Macaca fascicularis: one gene and its partner. The protein of the gene in region 1 purifies or fractionates together with the protein of each later gene. This does not show direct contact. Links are inferred from orthologs where the notes say so. Each region holds a gene or a part of one and is shown on either strand. Other genes may lie near its edges.

Region 1 (3,655 bases):
AAGGAACCTGGTACCTGGTGTATCACAAATGCAGACTGTTCTTCTATGCTGAATCCTCCAAAATACCAGCCCTCCACCTCTCTCCTCCTTCACACTGGTTTATCGGCACTCAGAACAAGAACCACTGTCCTGTTAAATAGGCCACTGAGTCAGCAACATCTGGATCCCTTTCCCCTACCCCGACTCCAAGAACCAGCGATGTGTTTATCCCACCTGTTGCCCATTCCCATCCTCACCTCCATAGTAGTAATCATCAGAGGAGTGCTTCCTCTTCTTCTTGTGTGTGTCCGTCCCCAAGAAGTAAAGTTCGCTATCCTATAATTAAAGAAGAAGAATTGACCAATAATAAGATGATGAGGCAAATGCAGTTTGGAACCACTCTTGTCTTTGATGATTTCTGACTTTGGGAAACAAAGCACAAGAAATAATAAAAACAGATGCACACAACATTTTATTTTTCTTTTCTAAAGTTATTAAAAAACACTTCCTTCTTCAAATATTAGGAAATATGGTAAGAAGTAGTTTAAGACTTTCCTGGTGCAGTGGTTCAGGCCTGTAATCCTAGCACTTTGGGAGGCTGAGGCAGGTGGATCATTTGAGGTCAGGAGTTTGAGACCTGCCTGGCCAACATGGTGAAACCCTGTCTCTAATAAAATACAAAAATTGGCCGGGCTTGGTGGCAGGAACCTGTTAATCCCAGCGACTCGGGAGGCTGAGGCAAGAGAATCGCTTGAACCCGGAAGGTGGAGGTTGCAGTGAGCAGAGATCACGCCACTGCACTCCAGCCTGGGCCACAAGAGCAAAAAAACCCTCTGCATCAGAAAAAAAAAAAAAAAAAAAAAGGTAGTTTAAGACTTTCCTAATTTAAATTTTTAGGACTTACCTTCAACTTCTTCTTGGAAGAATTCCTGACCTGAGCAGCAATTTCTTCCTCTTCCCTTAAAAAATCTTTGTAAGAACGTTTTTTCTCTCGTTGGCTTCGGCCAGCTGCAAGTCCTATGTCCTCAAAGGTATGATCACCATCAAAACAATCTGAGAAGCACAGGTTTATTTGGGAAAGGAAATGAGAAAGTCAAGTAAGTAACGACCAAATCACCATGCAGGTAATGCAACAGTTCCTCTATTTCCAAATTAAAACAATGTTTCAATCAAGTCCACTGAAATACAGGGCTAGACCCAGGGGAACAGAATATTTCTTGATGACCTGGCTGCAAATACAAGAATCAAACCTGAAGAAACAATGTTTCCACGCTATGCAAAGGCCCCATGTGCGACCTCAGATATGATTTCTTAGTTGTGATTTGGTAGGTGGACACAGACTTGCAGACGAAAGGCTGAAAAGAATAAGGATTCATGATTCATGTGCTGTGCTGCTCTCTGTGGGAGTCCAGGATGTGATTCCTATCCCCAGACTCCTGCACACTGGAGCTGGCAAGGACCAAGAGTGCTGCAGGGGATCACCCCAATAAACTAAGAGACTCATATTTCAGACTCTCGTGTTGGAACCCCTGTCCTGGTTTTCGTTTCCATGGGCCCAGTCTGGGGATGGCGTGGAGGCTGAGTGTCATAACAGTGCTCTAGACCATCACTTGGGAGTCCAGGCTGTGGTGCCCAGTCCTGGTCTCTATATCCATGGGCTGCAAGGATTGAAGAGGATACCCCCTTTGGAATGCTTCTCAGATTATGGGGTCATACCTTCTTTCTTCACGGAGTCATCATAAGCCATGGTGGTCCTGCAGGGCCTTTGAGAATGTGTCACTGTGTCCAGGCTCCTTCCCGTCTACAGGACCAGGTCTGAGAAACAAAGAAGGAAAACCCTCCTGTAATGCGAAATCAGAGGAGAAGCAACCTTCCAGATGGAAATGTGTAGTGATCCAAGGGCCGACTGGAAGGGCAGCAAGAAATAAAGGAGTGTCTTGTCACCTCCTCATTCTCTTTGTAAATATAGTGGGGTTGATACTGCAGGAAGTACACTAGGCTTAATTAGATTTCAGTCATGAATTAAAGTTGTCATTTGGGGAAGTATATAAAATACCTCCAATACAAAAAATATTTTCAAAATTAATGAGAATTTCTGAAATGCCAACAGGACTGACAACACTGAGACAGGGTAGAAACCAACATTAAGTTAGAGGGATAGGTTCAATCTTGGTTATAAAATACACAGGTAAAGCAAGATGCAGAGAAGACAGATCACACCAAACATTTGAAGACCATAAAATCCTACCAACTGGATTGGTGAACTGGTAACATCTATTGCATTGTAATTTAAACAGAAATGATTAACTGTATAGGAATATTAAATATCTTTAGAGCATAATTTCTTTTGCATTTTGGGGGGGGGTTACATGAATTTGTTCAAATTTATGTAATTGTAAAAGCAGGTACACTCCTTACATCAGTTGACCATGTGACAGCTGTCACCACCACCAAGGCTTTCTTAAAGGCTAGGTGAAAATGGAGATATTTATCATTTGTCCACTGGTCATAAAACTTTTATGATTAATAAGATCTTCACTAATAAGAATTGCTATAATTTAAATGTTCTAGATATTGTATTGAGTTTTATTGAATTTTTACAATCTTTTTTTGGCATTTGAGTTTATATGTCCATTTTGACTTTGACGATAACAATGCTATAAAATGCACTGTAAGTTTTTTTTTTTTTTTTTCTTTTTTTTTGAGACAGTCTTGCTCTGTTGCCCAGGCTGGAGTGCAGTGGCAGTTTCGGCACACTGCAACTTCTGCCTCCCAGGTTCAAGTGATTCTCCTGCCTCAGCCTCCCCAGTAGCTGGGATTACAAGCACCTGCCACCACGCCCAGCTAATTTATGTATTTTTAGTAGAGATGGGGGTTTCACCATCTTGGCCAGGCTGGTCTTGAACTCTTGACCTCATGATCCACCCGCCTCAGCCTCCCAAAGTGCTGGGATTACAGGTGTGAGCCATCGTGCCCAGCCAAGGTAAAGTTCTTTAAAAGTTTTAAGAACAAGTAATGTCACAAGTCCTTCAGGAAATTTAAAATTACATATTAAATATTTTGGCAATGTTCTCATCCAGTTAAGTCAGATGCTTACAAAGTTAATCTAATTGATCATTTATTTAAATTTAATTTGACCTTCATTATTATAAGGGGACTTAGAAATACTGAAGGACACTTAAATGACACATTACTAATTCCTTCAGGCAACTGTGGACAATACTGAAGCATGGAACTTTTGTGAAAGAAAAGATGAATTTGATTAACAAGGGAAGCTTTCATAAGTTACATTAAAAAGACTTATTTGCACAAATCAGATAAAATACAATGTACAGGTAGGCCTGAATAGGAAAATGAAGCATTACGAAGAACGATTTATAAGAAAAGAAACATAAAGCATTTCTTCACTTCTCTGAGAAGTGAAATAAAGAATGGATTTGGTCAAAGTAACAGAAGCTAGAGTAATGAAACTACATTAACTGGATTGTTTTAAAGATAAACTGGAGAACTGCCTGTTCGAAGGGCCTTTTCACAGGAAACGAAGGGGACATAAGGTCAGGCCTCAGATAAAAATGTGAGGAGGCAAGATACATAATGTAGCCAGTTTTTCATGTTCCAGCATTTAAGGATGAAAGTTTCTCAGTGGAAACTACTGTCCTCCCCTTTCCACCCAAGT
Region 2 (3,655 bases), on another chromosome or scaffold:
GACAGTGTCCAGTCAACAGTGTAAGCATTCAGTATTTCTTGCTTAAAGGAACAACTGTTAAATGAGGGAGAAACGCTACTGACTGTTTCGTATAAATCTAAACTAGGAGAAAAGTGTAGACACAAATTAGCCTAGAAAAAATTCTGAAGATATAGACCTAAATGTTAACACGAAAAACATTGGGTAGAATTATTTTTTTCTTATACTCTATCGGTATTTTTCAATTTATCTCTATATTACCAAGTATTACTTACGAAGTTAGGAAAATTTTCCGTTTATTACCAGCCACTTCTGCTGTTTAAAATAAAATGAATCAGGTTGCCATCCCACATTACTATTCATCTCATACAAGAATATATTTCACTGTAAACATACACCACAAACTTCATTACAAAAACTTTAAAAATATTTCAGAGCTTCCCAACTGAAAAACTGGCATTAAATTTTACATAATGATGAAAATATTCAGATGTGAATAAGCAAAAATGACTGCTGTTTTAAGCAAAATTACAAGACATTACAGTAACACTTAAAATTCCAGGTTTCCAGTAAAATAAAGCTTTCATGTAACCCAAACCTATTTCTAAATTACCTTTTGTTTTTCCCTATAGTCTTCTCCTTCGAAGTTATAAACACTCGACTCTGTATCCATTGTAAAGTTTCTAAGTGAGCTTTCGCCCATCTTGGAGAGCTTTTCATTCATCTCTGCAGTCTAGAGAACAAAACAATCAACTTCTTAGATTCACAACAAAGAAAGCATGAAACCTGCAGTCAAAATAAATTAACTTCAGGTACACAAAAGCTTTTTTGTTAGGGAAATAAAATTATTTATCAATGTAACAAATATTTCCTGTTTCTGGTCTAAAACATTCTATATTAAAAGCATTATTTAATCTACATCTCACCTTCTTTGCACCTCTTTCCAAAATACCATCAATATCTTCATCAGTGATCTCACTTTCCTTTGAAGCAAACACATGTGTTGCCCCATGTCTAATCATTTGAAGCATTTCATCTTTCCCAATTTTGTTCAGATTCTGATCCACAAGCCTCCCTGAAAAAAGATTGTGTTGTATAATGTTAACTGAACAGACTTTATTTTACTGGAAACTTGAAATTCTAAATGTAAGGTTTAATGCCTTATAATTCTGTCTCAAATGTCAATCATTTCTGTTTACTGTTTATTCACATCTGATAATTTTCATTTTTGCACTAAATTTAATGCCAAATTTTCAGTTGGTAAGCTACAAAACATTCCTAAAGCTGATATATTATATAATGAACCCTACTGTATACTGTGTCAATGAAATATCTTTTGTGAAAGCTGCATATGATGAAGTTTTCAAAAACCTACAAGTTTCAACAGATGGAAGCATTATGTATTACACAAGTTTCTGATGAGCAGAAAGGTGTTATTACTAATACTCCTCAAATCAGCTTTTTCTCCTTAGAAAAGTGAAAAATCCTTCCCACAGGCCAAACTTTACACAGAACTGAAATATGTAACATCAGTTTCTTTTTAAAGAAAACTTCCAGAAGAACTGGAACTCCTAAAAACTTATTTTATTTGTTTATTTCTTTGAGATGCAGTCTTGCTCTGTTGCTTAGGCTGGAGTGCAATGACAGGACCATAGTCACTGCAGCCTTCAACTCCCTGCTCAAGCCATCCTCCTATCTCAGCTTCCCAAGTAGCTAGGACTAAAGGCATGCACTACCACACCTGGTGAGAAAATGTATCTGGATCATCAAAGAAACTCATCATTAATAAATTACTAAAGATTTTCAGTTGGCAGGAATTTGGACAACCTTGTAATTTGTGTTTTCAAAAATACAGACATAAAAACAAAAACAAAAACCCAGAAAGACTTGTTTTCACCCACCTCAAGGGTCACTCACATACATCTAAACAAAGCTTTGATTTTTATACGCCAACCAACTTGTAATTAAGTGGAAAAAGATCCAAGTTTTCAACAACTTCTTTAAATACTTGTATCATGGTTTGGGGCCCATAACAGAATATACAACCAAACATCTGTGACTTTGAAAGTGAGGCAATATCCAGAAAGTACGTTTCTTTGGATTGGATGCTGCCATTGCTACCAAAATGGTCTCATGCTTATACAAGCTACTTCCAAGTTGGGCAGAGAGGGAACCTTCAGATGTAAAGTGCTTGTGTACTCTCATTTTCAATTATGTTCCTCAAATAAAAAACAGTAACACAGAGGTATGTACTTAAGGCTTGCTGTTTGACTAACATGTCTACAAATGGCACAAGAAAGCTATTAGCCTGAAGGTTTGCTCCAAAAATTGCCACAGTAAATATGAAGTAAAAAACCTCAAGATTTCTAAATTTATGAATCAATTAAGGTTTTTTAATCTTTAAAAAAAAAGTGTTTCAGACAGGCGTGGTGGCTCACACCTGTAATCCAGCACTTTGGGAGGCTGAGGTGGATCACCTGAGGTCAGGAGTTTGAGACCAGCCTGGCCAACAAAGTGAAACCCTGTCTCTACTAAAAATACAAAAAAATTAGCCAAGCACCACTGGTGGTGGGCATCTGTAAACCCAGCTACTCAGGAGGCTGAGGCAGGAGAATTGCTTGAACCCAGGAAGTGGAGGTTGCAGTGAGCCAAGATCGTGCCATTGCACTCCAGCCTGAGTAACAAGAGCAAAACTCCACCTCAAAAAAAAGTGTTTAATGGATGAAAATAACTGAGAACAAGAAGCACATGGCAGGTGTTTTTCAAAACACACAGATGTGTGAAGAAAAATAAAACATTAGCCATTTTATCACCCATGAGATAACCTCATGGGTTGGTAGCCTCGAGAAGCCCCCAAAGGCCTTCCTAATTAAATACTTAATAGTTAACAAAGTTCTTGGTCCCCTTGAGTCACTTCCCAGCTGTATGTACAATGAACAAGTAATTTAACCTCTCAAAAGCCTTTACCTCTGATGCTAACATCTCAAGTTGGCATGAAGACTAAAGGAGAAAATGAAATGTTCACACTGCCTGGCACAAAGTAAACACTTTATTAACGGAAACAATTTGTAAAAATAAGCAATAATTTATTGTCTTTAGGTATGCAATAGCATTAGGGATACCAAAGACATGAAAAATACTCTCTTACATGGAAATAAGAGACTGACAAAATCAAGACACCTACATAATCAGTAAACAATGTAACAATATGCCTTTCAGCTTTTTAGACAGATAGTAAATATATGCTCACAATGCAGTTACAAAGGAAACTAATGAACATTTGAAGTTATTAAGTTTCCCACCCCTTTTCTTGAATTTTATATTTCCCATCATCAACTTTACAGTAAGTTTCATGAAAACATAAACTATGTCATCCTTAAAAGTTGATCTGGAATGAGAACTTAAGTTTCCTTCAATCGATTCAAAATAAAATCCCACTCTCACCCCCTACTCCTACTTATACCTTGTTTACTTCATCTGCCCTCCCAACTAAATTGTAAACTCTTTTAAAGTAAGAATACTTGAATGTTCCATTTACCACTGAATTCTCAACACCAAGAACAGTGCCTAGCATCTGGTGGGTACTCAATAAGTTGCAGACAAGAAAAAAGAATAAAATCAGGCTCTTTGATTTTTATTTCTTCAGTATTCCCCACAGTAATCAAGAGTAATTAGT

The links. Proteins that work in one complex are often made in the same cells at the same time.
Region 2: the proteins of HMGXB4 (region 1) and SMARCA5 purify together in Homo sapiens (affinity purification with mass spectrometry; 3 studies listed by BioGRID and IntAct, with this or other methods). This does not show direct contact. The link is inferred for Macaca fascicularis from reciprocal best matches to the Homo sapiens genes HMGXB4 and SMARCA5.

What each region holds. Positions count from the first base shown.
Region 1 is NC_088384.1:16,408,312-16,411,966, forward strand, and holds part of HMGXB4 (HMG domain-containing protein 4), read right to left. Parts: intron 1,795-3,655; 5' UTR 1,727-1,794; coding exon 1,696-1,726; intron 1,033-1,695; coding exon 884-1,032; intron 316-883; coding exon 237-315; intron 130-236; exon of another isoform or gene 15-129; intron 1-14. UniProt on the Homo sapiens protein: Negatively regulates Wnt/beta-catenin signaling during development.
Region 2 is NC_088379.1:148,651,737-148,655,391, reverse strand, and holds part of SMARCA5 (SWI/SNF-related matrix-associated actin-dependent regulator of chromatin subfamily A member 5), read right to left. Parts: intron 1,055-3,655; coding exon 906-1,054; intron 713-905; coding exon 593-712; intron 1-592. UniProt on the Homo sapiens protein: ATPase that possesses intrinsic ATP-dependent nucleosome-remodeling activity.